2 linked regions of the Lepisosteus oculatus genome follow. The protein of the gene in region 1 purifies or fractionates together with the protein of each later gene. This does not show direct contact. Links are inferred from orthologs where the notes say so. Each region holds a gene or a part of one and is shown in the gene's direction. Other genes may lie near its edges.

Evidence for each region. The genes of interacting proteins can lie anywhere in the genome.
Region 2: the proteins of hnrnpa1b (region 1) and eif4a3 purify together in Homo sapiens (co-immunoprecipitation; 4 studies listed by BioGRID and IntAct, with this or other methods). This does not show direct contact. The link is inferred for Lepisosteus oculatus from reciprocal best matches to the Homo sapiens genes HNRNPA1 and EIF4A3.

The regions. Positions count from the first base shown.
Region 1 is NC_090696.1:19,464,843-19,475,736, forward strand, and holds the start of hnrnpa1b (heterogeneous nuclear ribonucleoprotein A1b), read left to right. Parts: upstream 1-5,940; 5' UTR 5,941-6,037; coding exon 6,038-6,049; intron 6,050-7,076; coding exon 7,077-7,193; intron 7,194-7,572; coding exon 7,573-7,719; intron 7,720-8,191; coding exon 8,192-8,402; intron 8,403-8,816; coding exon 8,817-8,909; intron 8,910-9,298; coding exon 9,299-9,388; intron 9,389-9,578; coding exon 9,579-9,641; intron 9,642-10,036; coding exon 10,037-10,183; intron 10,184-10,689; coding exon 10,690-10,824; intron 10,825-10,894. UniProt on the Homo sapiens protein: Involved in the packaging of pre-mRNA into hnRNP particles, transport of poly(A) mRNA from the nucleus to the cytoplasm and modulation of splice site selection.
Region 2 is NC_090712.1:4,822,834-4,833,370, reverse strand, and holds the start of eif4a3 (eukaryotic initiation factor 4A-III), read left to right. Parts: upstream 1-6,077; 5' UTR 6,078-6,207; coding exon 6,208-6,361; intron 6,362-6,665; coding exon 6,666-6,738; intron 6,739-6,827; coding exon 6,828-6,894; intron 6,895-7,525; coding exon 7,526-7,588; intron 7,589-8,397; coding exon 8,398-8,530; intron 8,531-8,692; coding exon 8,693-8,773; intron 8,774-9,223; coding exon 9,224-9,365; intron 9,366-9,538; coding exon 9,539-9,677; intron 9,678-10,253; coding exon 10,254-10,369; intron 10,370-10,537. UniProt on the Homo sapiens protein: ATP-dependent RNA helicase. Involved in pre-mRNA splicing as component of the spliceosome. Core component of the splicing-dependent multiprotein exon junction complex (EJC) deposited at splice junctions on mRNAs.

The DNA.
Region 1 (10,894 bases):
AATCTGAGGGGGGAGCCTGGCCAGCACTGAGAGGGCTCATAAACGGTGCCCTGAACACTGCTCTCTGATCTCACAAAGAGCTTTATTGGCATGACTGATAAACTGCAGTGTTGCCAAGGAAGAGCGATTAATGAAATATTTACAAATATTTGGAACACTAACTAATATTTGAGAAGGTCTGTCCCTTTTCCTCAGGCTGTGACAGGAGATTGTTTACCAGACTGCAGCTCTTCGTTTCCTTCTATGGCCAGGCTGTGGTCACTGAGCCTGTCCTCTCTGTACAGACAGGTCTGTCCGTGTCCAGTTTCTATGTCCAGGCTGTGGTCACTGAGCCTGTCCTCTCTGTACAGACAGGTCTGTCCGTGTCCAGTTTCTATGGCCAGGCTGTGGTCACTGAGCCTATCCTCTCTGTACAGACAGGTCTGTCCGTGTCCAGTTTCTATGGCCAGGCTGTGGTCACTGAGCCTGCACTTTATTGGGGTTTCCCCTCATTGTCTCTTACGCTGGTCAGCTGCACTGTGCTTTTAGGGCTCAGTAACACCCTACCCCCTCACTACCTGTACATGAACCCCGGCAATGAACCAGGCACCTCGCCAAGGCACGCAGAAAGGAGGTCAGGTCAGATTTTGACAGCACACCGTTTACATTAGATACACAGCCTTCCATTGCCAGCGACAGACAGACCGCAACATGCTAGACAGCACTGGGGAAACGCTCTGGACACAAGTGCAGAAGTGTGTGGGGTGGGTGGGCTTGGAAGTCTGGTTGTTCTGCACGGCCACATAAACCACTGCAAGACCTCAATTCTTCCAAGAAGGGCTTTGAAACAACTGCACTTCTCCTCGCCAACACACACAACCCCCAACCCCCATACGTGCCTGCTAGCTCCTTTCTGCAAAGCATCAACATTTTCAAATAAGAACATGAGAACAGTTACAAATGAGAGGAGGCTATCCGGCCCATCTCGCCTGCTTGGCGGTTGACACCCCATGGATCCGAGTGCAGTTAAAACTGTGAGCAGGAGGTGCGTTCTTTACACAGAGGGAGGTGGGAGTGTGGATTAAGCTGCCCAGCCGTGTCGTTGAAGCTGACACCATGGTGTCTCTCAAAAAAGAGCTTGACAAGATCCTGGGGTCAATTAGCTGCTAACCACCCAACAGGACAGGTGGCTCAAATGGCCTTCTCTCGTTTGTAGCTTCTCGTACGCTCTCAATCACTTGCACTCATTGTTGAACGAGAAAGCGTGACAGACTAATTACGTCCTGCTTCTCATGTTTCCCAGTCGGGGCTTCACCAGAGAATGCACGAAGGTGGGCAGACAGGCACACACACCCACACCAAGACCAGTTTTCCCCCGGAGACAAACAACAGGCATGTCGCTGGACAATCTGAGGACCCCGGAGCACCTGCAGGAAACCCATACGAACACGGGGAGAGCAGACAGGCTCCACACAGACGCCACCCCAGGAACTGAACCTGGTTCTGCAGCGCTGCGAAGCTGTAAGGCGAACCACTGCGCTGCCGGGCCGCCCCACTACTCTCAATGTTAAGCTTAGTTCAAATCAAAGGACAAGGAGGACAAGGAACAGGCTTTGCTCCACTGGGATTCAGCAGAGACAAGACATGCGAATTGCATTTTAAAGGGAGGTATACAGACATGTAATAATGCTACTCACACTGTTAAGAGCTGGCTCTTTAAGAGCAAATCAGTAATCCAGAAGATGGCGAGCAAAGAGTGGGCAGGATTTATCAGATTTTTCTGATAAAACCGGAGCAACCCAGAGGAAGCCCATGTGAACCAGGAGAAAACATGCAAGCTCCACACAGACAGCAGCCCAGGTCAGGAAATGGACCCCCGAGCCCCAGTGCTGCGAGGCTGCAATGCCAGCCTGCTCCTGATTCACCCCTTGCAGTACATTTACAGTACAATTCCCCATCATAAAAACACACAATGGCAAAACGGCTGTTACCACCCTTGGACAATAATGCAGCGAAGCACTACATTTCCCTGAAAACGTGTTCCCTTTTAAAAATCCTGTATGTATATATATATATGAATGTATGGTACATGTGCAGTTTCATGTTTAAAAAGTAGTCTCTCTCAGCTGCGGCCACAATGAGGGAGCTGATGGCCGATCCTGTCCAATCAGAAATGCAAATCACAGGCTGGAGCATGGGAGAATACACATTTCTACAGCGGGTGAGTTTCCCTCCATGCTTGTTGAACAGGTGGTTAAAGAGCTGGCCTAAGCCTTGCGCACTTACTGCAAATCCTCCAGGCCTGAAGACTGTGGTCTGTGCCAACAACGGAGAACAGTTCCAGGGGTGTCAGTGCCCCCACAGGAAGAGCTCAAGTCCAGCTGCTGCCTGGAAGAAAAAGGTGAGAAAAGACAATTCAGAGCCTGGGGCTGCTACAGAGACGAATGCAAGAAGGTCTGGGACAATCAGGGAGGAAAACGCCTTCGACTGCTTTCGCGCAAGGAGGAGAATACTCCTTAAAAAGCACGCCACGCGGACTTCATCTGGGAGAGCTGCGAACTTCGGGACAAGGCTAGGATTCATTCCGCGGAGGCTCTTCCACCAAGCAGAGTCCAATTCGCCCTATTCTGCACGGCCGGCCGTTTCACTGGAGGGATCGGGGGGGGGGGGGGGATGACTGCAGAGTCTCGCGCTCGCGGCCTCGAACCCGTGGCCACAGGTCAGGAGTCCAGAGCCCCGGCCGGCCGCTCCACACCGCTGCCCCGAAGGGCTTCTGAAAGGGGTAACCACGCGCGGCAGGTTCTGCCATCTGAAGGTGGCGTCTTGCCCACAGAACAATGACAGGAAAGGAAGCCCCTGTGTTACACTGAAAGGATCCCCCCACCCCTGTTCTCTGCTGATGGCGATTCTTACAGCTGCTTCCTTTGATCCAGCTGATTACTTTGACTAGCTTGCCTATCAGTGGGGAAACAAGACGCCAAAGAGTTAAAGCGCTCTTCCCAGATCGGCAAGCATGAATATGCATGAATCAGCCTATCGCTTTTAACACTCACTTGCGCATCTCTCCAGTTAATCCAGCTCCCCCTTTTCTCACCTGGATAGACATGTTTTTGTTGTTGTTGTCCTGTACGTGTTTGAAGTGTTTACAAAAAAAAAAGTGCACGAGATGCAGGAGCCGAAGACGCACCTCGGCCGTGCGGTGCGAGAGCCTGGCTCTCCACGATGCGTGTGGATCCCCCGGTGGGGGGGTTGTAGCACGTGGACGTGCAGCGTGATACACATTTTGACCAACATTCAGAAAAACAACGCTGGTAATATTGCACGGGGTGGGGATACTTTCATCAGACTCGTCAGCAATCAATCCAAAACCGGTTCCTCCGGATCCATCAATGGGTGGGGGTGGGGGAGATTCATCAATCTCCCCCGTGAGATTATCGGGCTCTACGCTCCCCTACAAGGTCTTTATCCTTTTTTCAGAAAGTGCCACGAATGCTCTCGCCAGCGCTGACTTCAGTCGCGACCCCACTCCCTCGCAGACCCCGTGTCCGCCAGACCCGGAGCTGAACTCGCCCGCGACGGCTGGAAATCCTGAACTGGAAGCGGAAGGCTTCCCGATCGAGCCCGGGGGGAACAGTCTCCCGATCTGGGAGCTACCTGACCGCGTCCGATGAGTAACACTTTCGCACACCCACAGAAGCGGCGTCAGGGGCGCTCCGCGGTTTAAACTGCGATGCCCGCTGCCGTCGCTAAAGCCCATCATACCCCCCAGATGCGGGGATCGGCGCCACTCTTTGATGACCTACATTAAAAAAATTGTCGCTGCTTGATTCTTTCAATGGGGGTGATCGGTCCCTGTTACCGATTTGCAAGATGCGCACCGCCAACCCGGCCTGCGCATGTGACAAACACAAAATCACAGAGCTGTGCGTTTCCGGCTCCTCTCCACTCGGGACCTTAAAGAAGTTTGCCGGAGGGCTTGGATTCACACACACCAGTCTCTTATCTTACCGAGAGACACCGGCACCCGTTTGTTTTTTGTGTTCCAAGGGGAGGTTTAATTCCCTCGTCTTGTGAGCGCGCCCGAGATTTAAGGAGAGCGTTGAGCTTTCACCGTGAGCAAGGAAAGGGCATTCCTTTTAAAGGCTTTTACACCGTACGCGTCTGTTGGCACGGGGTGGGGGTGGGGGGTCATTTTCCTGGTAAAAAAAAACGCCAGCACAAGTTTGCAAGCAGAACTCAGCATAACGTTCAGTCCCAAACCCAGGCAACCCGATTTCAAGTCACAACACCGGTTGGGAGGCGTGCAATGCTCGTCACAACACTCTCACTAAAGGTTCCGCTCCATTCACAGCCTTATCGTCTTGAGAGAGACGGGGCGAGATTTATTTTTTTTCCCCAGATTTTACTCTGGAGAAGCATGCCGGGCTCCGGGAGCTCCGAATGAATTCACACAGAGAGACAAGACAGGGGGTGGGGGCAGAGAGCAGCACCGCTTATCTACAAAAATCGCCATTCACCAGGCAAACTGAATCGCTGCACACAGTTGTTTTTTTTATAAAAGTAGACTCCATGCGTTATCTGTTGTGAAACCCACCTTCTCCTGTAAATCCCAGTTTATAACCCCAATTTGCAATACAAACACACATGGCCGTAACGCAAATCACCCTGGCACAGGAAGTCCCTCCTACCTGACGCGTCTGTGATTTGTACGCTTGGTGCAGCGACCCCGCCAACGCAGGGAAGCCGCCTCTCTGAGTGGCCGAGGCGACTGTCAATCAATGTCGCTCTTCCGCTCGGCCCAACACGACCCCACCCACCTACCTCCTCCTCCCCCCCCATCTTGTTTCTTTCAATCCCGCCGCTTTCACATAAGAGACGTGAACGAAGAAACGTTCAAATCGACCCCCCCCGCCCACCATAAAAACTCTCTTTCGCACGTTTTCGTTAACATAGCGCAGAGTAGCCTACCCCTCCAGCTCTTCGCTGGTGCGAACTGAACGAGAATTTGGCTCACCCAGTCGGTGAAGAGACCGTCTGAATCCAGGAGAGAAAACGTTACGACCCAATCCGCCGCCGCAGCTGCAGCTCGAGCGCCTCTCCGACTCTCCTCCTGACTGCGTAGACGCGCGCGCCAAAAAAAAAACACACAATAGCTGGAGCGCGCACGCGCACGCAGGGAGCTTTGAAGGGGTCCTTCTGCGATAAGAAGACGGCTTTTCCCCGCTCGTCAGGATGATAAAAATGCTTCAAACAACAATAATAATGATAATGATGATGATGAAAAACAAGATCTCATGCAAAATCTCGACCAGGACCATTTTCCCTGGTCCTCTGAATCCAAACAAGCAGGTTTAGCTGATACAAACAAGCCATGTGTCTCGGGTTTAGGAATTGTATCTCTGACGTTAGGAGTTGTATTCATTAGACCTAAAAACTACTGTGACAAATAATAGGAAAACATACTTTCAAAGTGCTTAGAATGTGCCTATTGGCAAAAAGCGACAGCCTAGCTCTCTGTATAGCTGCTGTAACAATTCACGTAATACATCTACCACTAATAATCATCTAAAATGACATGCTTATGCAGTTGCATGGGCCAGTATTGCTGGGTGGCAGATTTCTTTGGACATTTCATGAAGACGATGTTCATGTTTTATTGATTTAATTGACACCTTATTCACGCAAGTACGCGGATCCTTTTTCTCCCCACAACACGACTGCGTCACCGGCCGCTCTCTCCGCGATCGCTCGGACGCCTTCCCCAATGATTGGCAGGAAGAGGAGCAAATCGGATTCCGACTTCACAACACGGGGGGGGTGCGATTATTCCGACAATATTTCTGCGATTGGTTAGAAGGACCAGATAGACGAGAGTTCTATCCAATGAGCTTTGAGCAACTCTCCCAGCTCCGCGCTGCAGCGGGAACTTTTAGCCAATCACTGATGCCAGTGGGCGGAACTTACCGTCTTCATAACTCAGTAGCCTGAGCAGTGAGAAGGGCTCTTTCGACCTTGTTCCTTCAGCAAGAGGCGCTGTGCTGGTACAGATCTTGTAGTAATGTCTAAGGAGGTAAGTTTTTGCTTTTCTTCAAACTAAAGCAACTTACTAGGCGTTTTTTAGGACCTTTTAGTCAAAATACCCGTGCTTTGAATAACGTGGTAGTTAAAGCTTATTGGTGTAAAAGGTCGTAGCTATAAAAGACATCTGTGTTTTCATAAGTCGGTGGCTCGTTTGTTGCTGAAATTGTGGAAGGGGGAAGACGCACATCGTTACTGTTCACTTCAGTAGTATATTTCCCGTCTTTCTAGTTCATTACTGTGTTTTATTTCTGTCTTTGGTGAGGTGCGATCTGTCGCTCCGCCATTTCGTGAGGGCGGTGGGTGTGCAGGCCACGCGCCTGCGAGCGAAATCGTGTGTCTTTCCCCAGGAGAAAGACACGCTTGTCTCGCGTGGCTGTAGCATCGACCCGCGTTCTGTATCCGGAGCAAATGGGAACACCGTTAATCGGTGAATATACACAAATATTGCAAATCCAAGAAAAAAAGACTCGGATCCATTTCTTTGTTTCCTGTTGGTGTAACGAACATGGCGCCCAGGCCTTGGAAGTCCTGCCCTGGGTCAGTCGTCCCAGATCGCTCTTACAACAGTTAGACCTGTGCAATGCGGCTTATTTCCCGCATTAAGACTGGGATGCTGTTAAAACGCGCTCCTCTGTTTTGTGGAGCCTGGGCGGCCGTGTTAGTAAATATTGAGACGGTGAGTGTAGGCTGCAGCTCGCGCATGCGCCCTGCCAGGGCCTTTGTCTCCGGTCTGGAACCTTCCGCGCTCACGCGGGCTGGCTAGCGTGCCCACGCGCCGGCCTGGGGCCGCTTCGCTTCTGCGTTCTGGAATTGGCGTTGCTGATTCGGAGCGGAGCAGATCTACGTGTGTGTAACCCTAAGAGGGTGGGAGGACACGCTCCGGAAGTTTTCATTTGCGTATAAGCTCTGCAGGGCGTGCAATCGTCGCGGGTTTCCGGCCGGGTTCGGGTGACCGGCGGGTCCGGCCTGCCTCTTACCCAGCGCTTCCTGCCTCTAACCCCCGCTCTCCCCCGCAGGCCCCCCGTGAACCGGAACAGCTGCGCAAGCTCTTCATCGGAGGGCTGAGCTTCGAGACGACGGACGAGAGCCTGCGAGCCCACTTCGAGCAATGGGGACAGCTCACGGACTGCGTGGTAAGGAGAGGAGAGACCCCCCCCCTCGGGCCCCGTGCTCGCGGTGTGGGGGCGGGTGTAAACGATCCCGGGACGCGCCGGTTTGTGGTGCGGGGAGCGCCTGCCCTTTGCCCTGGCTGTGCGGGGGGGGGCGTGTTTGTCAGGCCTGGCGGCCGCGAGTGGGAGCGGACTAAAAGCTCAGGCCGTGATCTGTGTGGGCTGTGAGTCCCAGAGCTCAGGGCAGCGTCCCGCCCGGGACCCTGGTTGGGTGACCCCACCACTGTGACTTTGATTGGTTTCCTAAAGCTTGGGGGGAACCGGTTCAGTTTAAGGGGCCCGGCGCAGTTCTCCCCCTCTGCCTCCAGTGCTGATGTGACCCCCCCTCTCTCTCTCCCCCCAGGTGATGCGGGACCCCAGTACGAAGCGGTCCCGGGGGTTCGGCTTCGTGACGTACTCCTCGGTGCGGGAGGTGGACGCTGCCATGAACGCCCGGCCCCACAAGGTGGATGGCAGGGTGGTGGAGCCCAAGCGCGCCGTGTCTAGAGAGGTGAGCCCCCCCCCCAGTCTGCTGCCTGTTTTCCCTGGGGTTGGGGAGAGTGTTTCCGGATCGAGGGCCCGCCAGAGAGCTGTGGAGCCGCTGCCTGCCACCCCGATACACGCGGGGGGCTCGTCGGTCCTCGGCGGGACCTGTTGTCCGCACTGCGGAGCCAGAACAGGAGGAACGTCTTTGCGCAAAGGGTGGTGGTAGGAGGGAACTGATGTTGAAGCTGGTTTCCTGGCTTCCTTTTCGGCTCTGCAGAATATCCATTCAGTCTTCTGATTGGGGCAGCGGGTTCCGTTTTACCCAAAGAGTGGTGGGAGTGGGGAACAGGCTGTTCAGCCACGTTATTGAAGCCGGTACCCCACCACCCCCCAGATGGATGGGGTCGATTTAAGCCAGTAGCTGCCCTAGGGGGCTGGACTGACCCCCCGGCCTCCTCCTCCTCCTCTCGTGACCCGCCTTGTCTCCTTGCCCCCAGGACTCGACCCGGCCCGGCGCCCACATGACCGTCAAGAAGATCTTCGTGGGCGGCATCAAGGAGGACACAGAGGAGCACCACCTGCGCGACTACTTCAGCGAGTTCGGCAAGATCGAGGTCATCGAGATCATGACCGACCGGGCCAGCGGCAAGAAGAGGGGCTTCGCCTTCGTCACCTTCGACGACCACGACTCCGTGGACCGGATCGTCAGTAAGTGTGGTGGGCGACGGGCCTTGTGCTGGGGGGTGTGGCGCCCCTGGGGGAGCCTGCCAGGCCACTGTAGCGACGTGTGCCGGTACCTCTCCAATGTACACCCGTACCCCGGTATCCGAGCCTGATTCGTTCATGGGGAATCTGTTCGGAAGGCGGAAGATCATAAATCCACCCTTTCCGAACCGAGGACAAGTTCGCTCAAACTCTTCATGTTCAGATTGGCAAAAACTCGTGTGCCGAACGTTCTTATGCCGGGGTGTGAGTGTGATTTAAAAGGGTCTTTGTTTTGGCTTCTTGGCTCTGGGTATTTAGGGGGGGAGGGGGTTTTGTGGGTGTGGTGCTGCACCCCTGGTTTGGGGCGTGCCCCCCCCCCCCCGTTTCTGACCGTTGTCCTGTCTCGCTCTTCCGCAGTCCAGAAGTACCACACAGTGAACGGCCACAACTGTGAGGTGAGGAAAGCGCTGTCGAAGCAGGAGATGGCGAGCGCAGGGATGAACATGAGAGGTAAGCCCTCTGCGCTTGGGGTGGGGCGGGGGGGTGGGGGTCTTGGACCCTGTGCCATTGGTGTTTTCAGCTCTTTTTTGGGAGAGGGGGATGACCCTGGGTGCTCTTATCTCAGAATTGATCTGGCTTTAGACCCGAGTGCTTTTGGGGGTTTATTCTGACCAAAGGAGAAAGCACTGGGTCCTTACACACAGGTGTGTGGGGCCCGTCCAGTCCATCTGTCCTGCTTGGTAGCTGATCGGTGCAGTGGTCTGTCACTGGGTTCCTCCTGGCTCTCGTGTGGAGGACTGTGAAGGTTTTGTGGCGCTGTGCAGGCCTCAAGACGTGCGCTTGGTTAAAATGCTCCCCCGAGCCTGGTGTCCTTTTGTGGTGACATTCGTTCTTTCCAGGACGTGGGGGCAGCAGCTCAGGGAACTTTGGCAGAGGTGGTGGATTTGGAGGTAATGATTTTGGCCGTGATGGATACTTCGGTGACCGTGGTATGTGGTTCAAAACCACTTTTTTCCTTTTTATCTCTCTTCCTTTTAATCATTTTTCCCCTTAACTTGCTTTTGTCCCCTCCCTACCCCAACCCCCCCTGGCATTTCTTGGATTTAATTTTATTCAGGTTGTTTTGTTACACTGCACTGACCACCTCGGGGTTGTTGTTTTTTTCTTCTGCTACCCCAGGAGGCTTTGGAGGCCGTGGTGGATATGGAGGAGATGGGGGCTACAATGGCTTCGGAGGAGACAGTGAGTTTGGATTTATCGCTACTTGTTTATTTTTAATAGTATATGTAAGATATATTTCTACTGCGGCCTGGGTTGAACGTCCCAGCTTCTCCTTTTAAGAGCTGAATTCCAGTATCGCCAGTGTCCGGAGGGGATCCGTGGCTCCGGACCCGCAGTCGGGGTCTCTTTCAGCTGTGGGGCTGCTTCTTCGGGTGTGAGAGGGGAAAATTGGCCGGCTGAGTGTCCACACTGCCTCGTTCCTACTCCTGCCTCTTCCTGGGGGGGGGGGTTTGTTCTCCCGTCTCTCGCGCCCGAAGGCGGCTCCACAGCGGGCGCGTGGGATAGACCCTCGCCTGGCTGCGGCCTGCGCGTGCCGACGCGCCTCCCTCATCGAACTCTCTCTCTCTCTCCTGCAGGCGGCTACGGCGGCGGCCCTGGCTACGGGAGTAACCGTGGTTACGGCGGAGGGCAGGGTTACGGCGGCGGGCAGGGGGGCGGATACGGAGGCAACGGAGGCGGCTACGACAACTACAACAACGGAGGGGGGGGCAGCTTCGGAGGAGGTGAGCGGCCACGGTCTCGGCCTCTCTCCTGGCGGGAGAGCGGTGCGCGGCGGGGTCTCCGGGTCTTTCTGCCTCGGCTTGTGGTGGCCTCGCGGAGTGCCCGAGCGGACCAGCCGAGTGCTTTCTGACGTTCCAGCAGCTGATTGAAAGCCTCCTGCGTTCTGGTTCCGGGTGGGGGTGGGGTGACCGTCTGTCTGTCGGTCACCATGCTAGGAGGTCGAGTTTCCGCATGCTGTCAGTGCTGGATCCCAGTTAAGAGGTGGAGCTGGGTGCCTCAGGGCTGAGGTATCTTGCCTGTACCCTCAACCTTGCCTCAGTTGGTCCGGACTTGCTCGGCCGGCTGGTTACTGTGCTTTGCCTGAAAGCTGCAGGAGCTCACTCTGAATCGAGGGCTCGTGAAGGCACCCCAGCGCATGAGGGGAGAGCCTGGCTTAACTTGAACTGTGCCGGTGCCCTACGGGGCTAACCGGATCTCTTTATTTATTTTTCTTCTTCTGGCCTCGCAGGAAGCTTCGGCGGCAGCGGGAACTACAACGACTTCGGCAACTACAACAGCCAGTCCTCCTCCAGCTACGGCCCCATGAAGGGGGGAAGCAACTTCGGAGGAGGCAGCGGCCGGAACAGCGGAGGCCCATATGGGGGTACGTGCCCGAGCTGCAGCCTTCCGCCCGGGAGGGGGGGAGCACCGTCCCTGTGTTCACTTATCACACT
Region 2 (10,537 bases), on another chromosome or scaffold:
GAGCCTGGGCTTCCTGAGCGCCCAGCACCTTGACCACACGCAGGAGTTAACGAGGAGCCGAGGAGGAGTTCTGAGTCGGCCCCCCCGTTAAAAGCCGCCTCAGTTTGGTGACTGCAGGAGTCGCATCAGTCCAGTCGCTGGTGTCGTTTGGTTGTCTGTGTTTCGTTTAGGTTCGTTATGCTTATTAGTAGAGAACAGCGTCGCTCATTGCCTAAAGAGAGATTTTTGTTTCAAACGACTAGACTTTCTCCATGGGCCTCAGGCAAGAAAACACAAGAAGAAGAAAATACTCCCGAGTGCTTTAAAACAATACACAACACGAGCGAGACAGTGGCGTTCCAGAACAGGAGTTGAATCCCAAGATAAGATGAAATGTGGTTGGTAATGGGGGGTGGGGAGACTTTGCAAGATAAGGCAGATTCAGGACAATCAAGGGAGCAGCTGAAAATCAGGTCTAGATTTTAACAGATGCACAGGGGAATCCTTTCTCCCCGGCTGTGCCTGACCTTTTTTTTCCTTTTTATGAGGTACATTAATTTCTTGACATATTCCTACTCGTTAAAATATTGGTACAATGTATTTAAGTTAAAATTCCTAATTGTCAGCAATAGATTTTTATGCCGAGTTGATTTTTTTTTTATAATTGACTGATAACTAATCTGAGCAATTACTGTGAAAAGGGCACAGCTACCTTTTAGTATTATGATTTGGACTATTTCCATTGCAGCTGCTCTTACATTTGCATGCTTGTTGATTGCATTGTGAGACTATTACAGACTGAGCCTCCTCCACTTCTCCTGTTTTCTGTCCTCTATAACCATCTCTTCAATCACATAGCTAAAAGAAATCACATTTCAGAGAGACCACATTCTGCTCCCTGTTAAATGTGATCAGATATAAGACTCGAGCCTGCTGATTTAAGTCCTGTAAAGGTATTTTGAGATTTTCTGAAAGTCACTTGGCTTTTGACTAATGCACATCCAAATTTTTGGCCACTTAAATGTTCTCCAGTCATACTGCGCTTTGAGATGGAGAGACCCTTGAAATGAAAATAGTTACATTGGGGATCTTTAATAAACAGTGATCTGTAATGCACTAGGATAAGACACAATGACAGCCATGTTTCTATCAAACATTAGAATAATCATGATTGATTTGGCTTTTCCAAGCTGGAAAGTAATGTTCAGAATAAGCCCCAATATAAGTCTACCTTAAAGGAATTAATGTCGTCTCACCTTGAAGTGGAAATACTTCTGTGTGATGTTCTGGAAGTCTTTTTGCTTAAATTTGTTTTAATCAGCTAGTGTAGTGTTGCAAAGAAAAAAGGCACATCTTCAGGCAGAGGTCATTGTGGAATTGAACAGTCCACTTCAAAGACACCTGGCTAACGCACACTGTGAAGTACTGTGGTTAGGGTGCCACGTCACATGCTCCAGAACAATCCCTTTTCTTTACAACAGGAGACTGGCAGGTGGTAGAGCTCCATTGTGATTCTCCTAAGCAGTACAAAACCACCAACAGCTGGCCTCTTTCCCACCCTGACTGGCCCTGGTGAAGGAGAATACAGCATTAACGGCACTGGCTGGGTTTGAGTGTTATTTAAACTAGACACATTCCAGACTTGTGGCCACTCTGGTAAACAATGGGCCATGCGTGGTAATCTGATCATCTGTCATTATGTAGGGAGAAACTATACGCCAGTGTCCCGTGGAACACAGAAAACATAGTGAGAAACACAATGCAATGCAACAACAGAACAAGAGCAGATGATTTGCTATTTAAAATAAAAAAAAGAGGAGAAAGCACACCCAGTGTTACTGAAATGGCTTCTGATGGGTATCAATCAAAGCACCGAGACAAGCAGGACGCACACTCTCTACTCTGAGGATGTTTATTAGACACTGTCAACATTTCGGCGCCGACAAAGGCCTTCTGTCCATCTGCAGAAAAGATGACTGTGTGTTATAAAGTTCACAGGGCTAGAGAGTGTGCATCCCGCTGCTGTCATTGCTCATTTTCTTTGACTTGAATCTGCTACATCTCCATACCTTGCACAGCAGGCCCTACACGTCTTTGTTGTACTGTTCTCGTTACAGCAGAGGAAGCTCACCTGGAGCTTTACGTATAGCAGGCCTGTTTGCCATCTTAGAGAATCCACCCTGGTATAGTCACAATTAAACCCCTCCTGAACTACACATTTTCCAGTGGTGTGTGATGGACTGAATGCCAGGCTACGACTGAGCCGCGGATCAGCTATTCATTATAATTTTGGCACTATAGAGATAACTCAACCCCTTTAAAGAGTACACTGTATTATATATAATACAGGAAAGCAAATTTGTTTGTTTCTTATTTAACGAAGTACAGTAAGGGTTTAATTGAAAATAACAATTGGGGTGAACCTGCTTGTATGGAGTATTTAGAATTGCCAAAATGAATTTAAAAATACAACCATCTGTTAATGCTGGCTTTTTGTCAGCGTTTAAGGGAGCCAGACATCCAGCTTGGCATCTCTCTCCGTTTTGCAAACCTGATTTCCAGCTGGCTCAAGGGTCAACACAAAATCAAAGCCAGTGTCAGCTCTGAGGTCTTTTTCCCGCAGCACAAAAAGTAGCCTGTCGGCAAGTCCACTGAGACTGTGAGAAATAATGGGTGCACAGTCCGACGTGTTTTGTTTTGTAAAATAGCCTGTTACCTTACTTTGAGCTCCAGATCTGATTTCTGTCAGTCTGCTGGTAGGAGAGGGGAGTGGCAGGAAAAAGCCAGGGACTGATGCAGAGGAATTCAAAGGGGTCCCAGGAATCGTCTCGTTTGTTTAGGGACATTGTCCTTAACCTCTTTCTTAACTGGAGCGAATTAGAGATATATATGTGAACAAAAAAGGAACAATTTGGTTAGAACAATATAAACACCAATATAAAGACGTTTCGTTTTCGTTTAGCTTTTGAACGGTGTGTTGCGAGAGTGTGTATGCACTTGCCGAACAATGCCTGTGACCCTGATGCTGTCCAGTGAGCCTTGAAAATATTCAGCTGATTTAGCTGTTGAAGCAGCTGCAGTGCCAATATGATTTTAACTGTTCCTCGTAGACGTCAAGTGTTGCTACCCTGAACCCAGACTAGAGGCAAGATGTTCCTGAATGAGGTGTTAACTCTATCACTTAAAACCCCACCTTTTCAGAACCTTAAAGTGCATCCTATTAAATATTTTGTCCCAGTATTACCTGTACTAGCCCACAGTTGTAAATGATTAGAATACTTTGGTGTCTTGTTGGGGGTTATTGAGGACTGCCAGATTCCAGCGTTAAATAGCCATCAGTGAATCATGTCTTACTATCAGCAGCACCAAGGGGTTTGCAGACTATAATCAAAGTAATTTTTTTGGAAAGGGCGTAAAAAGCCTGTTGAAGAATGCCTTCTTGTAGTTGATATTTTCCAGAGCAAAGGTTCTTTTTAACTAGTGCAACCAGGAGAAGAGTCTGCTTCATCCAACGGTCCACTCTGCAGCACTGTGATGATAGATGGCAGGAGAGAATCCACCAGCTGCAGAGCACTGCCTGTCTTGACACTGAACTATGTTAACGACCAGCACTCCATGTACACCTAGTATTCTAAATTGTTTAGTTATCGGTTTTGCTTCACTTCTTTACTTATTTATTGGTTTTTACTTTTATGATTATGACTTGTGATGTACCTGCAAACCCAAGTTCAGATCTGCGTGGCCCTTGCCTTACTTGAAAGGCACGAGAATGCATGTTTCTCTGCTCAATTAGGAGACAGCGTTTCTTCTCTTTAGAAAGAGACAGTAGATCCTGTTACCTGCATGTTAGATTGTCAAGTGCTGTGAGAAAGACTTATCTTGTATACTATTGTATCACAGTCTTGACTGAGAAAAAAAAAGCACAATTTTAGATGTTTCTTTTGCCGTTTTTTAAACTTGAATTTGCTCATTTTTACAAACGTATGTAGATATGAAATATGTTGCAGAGCACTGAGTATTACATGGAATGTGTGGTGCTTTAGCTTTGAAAAAAAAATAAAGAGTTCAACCTGTTTTGTAAAGTGTACAGCCATGTATGTAGCAGAAGGAAATAAACATAAAAAATAAAAAAAAACATACACTGTCATTCTATGAGGCCAGTTTTGTATGTCATTAGTCATATTAGTGCCAATGCACAAGATAGACGGGTTTTTTATGTTGTGACACTGCAAACCTATTTTAATTCTTTATCCAGAACCTTTAGAGATTGAACTCTCAAGCATGGGTCCAACCTGAACTTCAGACCTGTATCTGTGCAGCCCAGAAAACTCTCAACATTGTAGAACAACAAACGATTTTTGCCAATGGTCTAGCTCAAAAGAAGACACACATTTATCAAATCACTTTTCTTTCTGACACCTTTCTGGCACAAACTAGCCAGTCTGATGGCACTGGGGGGTTTTATGCTGGTGATGTGTACTGTTTGTGACCTTTATTCCTCAGACCACAGATCTCTGACTTCTGTCTTCAGCGGTCTCTGCTTACTTAGTGGGCTAGATCTGACTGAGTCACCCAACAGCTTGCACCACCCTGCTCCACAGGTCTGAAACTTCTCGTGATTTAACAAAGACTGAGAAAAAAAAAACATTCTCGAGAATGCAAAACAACATCCGAAGCAGATTTTGTAATTACAGTGTCAGCGTGATGACAGAACAATGATGTAGATGGTGCCATCTTACAGTAAAACATTAAACCCAGGTTATTAAAGACCCCAGGCACATGTTAACCTCAGTGTCTAGGCTACATTCCACTCTGGGTGGAATGTACAATTGTACAATCTGACCTACACAAATTTCAGCAAATTTAGTTCAGCTGGTAAAGCAATTTCTCACTTCTCCTGATCTGCTGTGCAGTGGGGCTTGTCACGTATCATCCAGGTGAGTGCACCACTTCAGCCATTCCGGGCCTACTATCTGTTAATGGCTTTGGAGTCCTTTTGGGATGAAAAGTGCTTCATAAAATGCAAGGAATGCAAGGAATTATTATTATTATAAACGGGCCTAGCACTGTACTTCATGGGTGGGTGACGTGGGTCCCTTACCCCCACATTAAGGTCTTAAGATCTCTGCACGTTGTACCGCTTTGACATTTTTCAGGATTTCTGCCAGACATTAACCTACATCTTCAACTAGACGTTGTGACAAACGTCACGAATGACGATAAAGTGATGTGGATCGGGGTCCCCCGTGTGGCGTTTTGGGAAAGTGCTGTCCACAGACCGGATGCGGAGCCTTTGTAGCACAAAAATATAGGAAAGTCCGAGATTATTTTTTGTTGTTGCTCACCGCTTACCATCGGTATTAACATTTCATGGCTGAAAGGGTCGATCACTTTTATAGATCTTAACATGAGGTGACGTATATTGTGCGTGAAATATACGATGCAAGGCTACACAGTGCATCCCCATACTCCTCTCCACCTGCCTCGTTAGGCAGTTATTGTGGTTCCGATAAGTGGTTGTTTTTTGCTTGTTCTGGTTAATGTATTAAAATGAAAAAACGACAACACATGAAAGGTCGATAATAGTCACACAGCTAATGAAATGTTAGGAGAATTACTTTTTTTAGCAGGTATAATTAAAATTATTACCTGTTGTACATACAGTACCCAAGATCATTTAGAATGCTGCATAATTAGACTATCGTTAAAAAATGTAATGATTTTTTAACGAACGTCCATTGACATAATTGAACCGTGTACTGTATAGCTACCTTCCATATACTGAAAAAAAAATGTAATCATTTGAACTCCATATAAATATCATTTATGTATATACAACGTTTTTATTATTTTATTTTCATAAGAGTTTCATTTTTAAACACTGTAATCAAGAGTGGAAAATTCAAGAGAAAATCGACGAAATTGTTATATACTTGTTGCGGTGACCGTGAAGCACCGTGCATGTACCTAGTCAAGATGGCGTCCTCATACGCTCATCAGACTAGTGATTAGTTCATCTCGAACGCTAATGTTAGCGGGTTGGTGGCTCTCTGGTCACATGACGGTGGACTTGACTTCCGTTCCACAGCCTACGTCACTACCTGCGTTGGACCCTTTTTTAGCGTCATTTAGCACGCGTCTCTTGGTTGCAGTTTGGCCTGCTGTCGGCGCCCGAAAAGTATCGTTCCTGGTCTTGACTTTAGGTGTTCCTTTGTATCCCATCTCGATATGGCAGCCGCCCCGGCACCGGTTAGGAAACGACTCCTGAAGGAGGAAGACATGACTAAAGTGGAGTTCGAGACGAGCGAGGAGGTGGATGTGACTCCAACCTTTGATACGATGGGCCTGAGGGAAGACCTCCTCCGCGGCATCTACGCTTACGGTGAGCCGGGGATAAGGCTGGGGCCTGTTCAGTTTTGAAAGCCTACGAAGATGGGCACGCATTAATTAAAGCTTCTAGAAATGCGCAGACGGTTTGACTACAAGGTCATATTTCGATTTTTTTCATAGCTTTTATTGAGGTGTTAAATGCTTCATTGTAGTTTACCATTGGGAAAAGTAGGCTAAATATTAAGAACGTCGTTAATGGAGGCGGAGCTGTTTGTGTTTTCGCTCCTGAGTCTGCCTTCCCTGGCGAGATCGTTGTTCTAATAGAGTTCTGTGTTGGTTTCATGTTTTTTATACAGGTTTCGAGAAACCCTCCGCTATCCAGCAAAGAGCGATTAAACAGATCATCAAAGGAAGAGACGTCATTGCACAGTAAGCTCAGCGTTGAAGAAGACGTTTAGTCTGCATGCCGATCCTGTTTGGAGCAGGGTGTTGAAAACCTGACTTTTTGTTCATTCCAGGTCTCAGTCTGGCACGGGCAAAACGGCAACTTTCTGTATCTCCGTACTGCAGTGCTTGGATATTCAGGTAAAGCTGTGTTTTTATTTCGTGCCTTTGAGGGTATTGGCGGAGCTGATGGGGAGAAAAGTGCAGTTTAAAAAAAAAAAATCTCAACGTGTATGGTGAAGGGAATAATTGTGCATCGCGCCATTGAGAATTTGACCATTTTTCATCTGATTCCTTGGTTGTCTTTGTTTACTACTTGCTCATCAAATACAGAAATAGGTATTTTAGTAGTGTCCCACTTTTTTACCTCAGCTGTTGACTGCAGCTCTCTGAACTATGAATGTTCCGTTCTGTAATGTGCAATTGGCATTCCAGACTGTAGATTAACTGTTTGACACCAATATCTTGGTCTTTATGCATGAGTGGGAGATGTACAAATGTCAAACAGCTGGCTGTCAAGCCTTGAGGTGTGACTGTTGGAAGTTTTAAGTAGAACCCGTGAAGATGGGGAAAAGAGCTTTCGGTATAAGTTTGCACATCAATATGTGGAATTGCTTAAATGTCTAGATTGCTTTGATGATTGTTGTACACTGTAACAGCTGATGTTTTCATCGGTAGATGAGTGATGCATCTACCAGAAATGACATGTAATGCCACATTGTCTTCCTGCCTCAGTTTAAATGTGCCTCACAATTGTTTCTAAACTTCGTAGGTTCGTGAAACACAAGCACTCATCTTGGCACCAACCCGAGAATTGGCTGGGCAAATACAAAAGGTTGGATTTCCTGATTTATCTTCGTCTTTTCTCTCTGAAGCCCCAGATTCTTATGTTGTTCAATAATTTGTGGTGCATGATGCATGAGAGTCTTTTGCAGAAGAACTGCAACACTGTTTTTATATTTCAGGGTTAGAAAAAATCAGCATTGATAAGTGCGTTTCAAACCACAATAAAAGTAAAATGGACACAGTAACTTGTAAAATCTTCTATTTATATCACAGGCAGGTATATATACAGGTATATCACCACCTGTAATTGTTCGCGCGTACGTTACACTAGTCGTTACAGTGACTAGTGAGCAGGAAGGGCTGCTTCACGTCCCAGCTCACGGGAACTCGCACTCTTGCCCGTGGCAAGACCAGGGGTCGGCAAAAATATGGTGACTTTCAGTTTTTTCAAGATTTTGTGCTCAATTTGTAAGATTCTGTAGCATTTCTATACCTTGTTACTGGGGTTTAATAACTGGGATTGGGACTGCGGTTCCCCCGTAAATGAGATCTTTTCCAGAACGATAAACATGTTTGCTGGAAGTTAGACCTGTGATAACACCTCTTCAAATGAAGCCTTTTCTGTGTAACTTCCCAGTGAAGTTTAATGCCGCCTTCCATCCTGCCCTCAGCCTCTTGGGTAATGTCTCTTTGAAGAAAGTGGAAGCTCGAATGCCTCTCAGCCCCTGCTTTAGCGTGTTCATGGGCTGCAGGCTCAAGTGTCCGGTTATGTGGGTACAGGGGCTCCATTCAATCGGTGTGAATTGGGAAATTGAGCGTCGTGTCGGAGCCGTCACTTTCGTTTGAAATCCTCGCTAGGTCCTCCTGGCTCTGGGCGACTACATGAACGTGCAGTGCCACGCCTGCATCGGTGGGACAAATGTCGGCGAGGACATCCGGAAGCTGGATTACGGACAGCACGTTGTTGCAGGGACCCCAGGACGCGTGTTTGGTAATGAACGCATGAATTACTCCAGACTTGGTTTTTGCAGAAGCACGTCCGTCCTAAGTACGACGGGTTGCATGCATCTTGTAAACCGTTTTTGGCTTCAGATTTGGCCTCCGGCTGTGTGGTGCTCACTGTGATGTTTCTGCCTTCTGCTGCTTTCAACAGACATGATCCGCAGGAGGAGCCTGAGAACCCGTGCTATCAAGATGCTGGTTCTTGATGAAGCCGATGAAATGTTGAACAAAGGTAGAGTGATGCTGCTCTTTCCCTTTTGTGAACCTTGCATCAACAAAGTGTTCCTTTTTTTGTATTCTTGCCAGCAGCACCTGCTACCCAATGCTCCAGTCTTAGTTATATGTAGATTTTCAAAATGTGGGTAATTTCCTAATTCAGAGTATTTCAAATGTCGGATGCATTCAGTTTATATGACTGAATGGTATCAAATTTTCAGTTTTGGTGGATAATGGTTTTGTAAAGACAAATATCCCTTTTAACAAATTACTTTTATTTACAGCACTTCGGACACATGTAGGGTTTATTGTATTGTGTACCTGTATAGAAAGCCTTGACACTGAGAGGAATGTACATAGATGGGTATCAGTATTGTTTAGATGGGTTTTTAAGGCCTTCCTGAAATCGAGTGTTAAATGTTGGTTTTTAAATGGTAACATAAACCTATTTTTTCTGTTTTTCAAGGTTTCAAAGAGCAGATTTATGATGTGTACAGATACCTGCCACCTGCTACACAGGTGTGTCTGATCAGCGCCACGTTGCCACATGAAATCCTGGAGATGACCAACAAATTCATGACGGACCCCATCCGAATCCTGGTCAAACGGTAAGAGCTCTCCGGATTTAAATTTGTTGCACCAAGGAAGTTTTTTTTTAGTTCGTCTTAATGGGTTCATATTTTGGGTCTTGCTGTAAAGCTGCTCACAAGTAAATTGACTACTTTACGTATCTCTTAGCTCATATATTAATTGAGTTTCTTTTCCTTTGCCCTTATTTCAGTGATGAGTTGACACTAGAAGGCATCAAGCAGTTTTTCGTGGCTGTGGAAAGAGAAGAATGGAAATTCGACACGCTGTGTGACCTGTATGACACTCTGACAATCACGCAGGCTGTCATTTTCTGTAACACCAAGAGGAAGGTTTGTGCTTTTCTGAAGAGCAGAACAGCTTAGTGGACATGTTTTGGATTGGAAACAGTGGCATTTTGTCACATTTTAGTTTTTCGTGCAGTATTTTACAGAGGTCATGAGCACACTTTGGTCCAGTTAAATCTTAGATTTCAGATAGTTTTCAGAATAAATGATGGTTGGATTACAATTTGTGGCCATGAAACTCTGGCTTCAGTTAGACTTATTGGTGGGGTATACTTAGGTCTGGAAAGGTGTATGGACAGAAATGGCAAAAGGGAAGGGTTTGATTTTAAATTGGTAATCGATCAAGTGGAAGTTAGTCCTTACTGTACCATAACCTTTCCCACCAAAGCCAGGACTGTGCAAGTGCTGGGGGAATCGGAAGTGATAGAGAGTCGTTGCTTGGTCTCTTTCAACAGTCCCCATAATGAAAATCTCACAGACAGCTGGGGGTACTTGAATGGCATCTGCTTCTTTCATTTTTAACATTACCTTGTTAGTACAAAACAGTAGCTGCATTTTAGTTGTAGACTCCTGTATATGGTACTGACTCTCTTTGTGGTCTTGTTTTTGTCGTAACTGTAGGTGGACTGGCTGACCGAGAAGATGAGGGAGGCCAACTTCACAGTGTCCTCGATGCATGGAGACATGCCACAGAAGGAGAGAGAATCCATCATGAAAGAGTTCAGATCGGGTGCAAGGCATGTAAAGAAGTTACTTTGCTAGTTTCCTCAAGATGGTCTGCCTAACCGATGCCTGTCAGGGGAATGTGTATTTGGTTTAAAGTATGTAACCTATCTAAAAGGTGACTTTGCTTCTTTTTTTTTGTGAGGCAGTCATCTCAAATAATAGAACCTACTTTTGGTTCG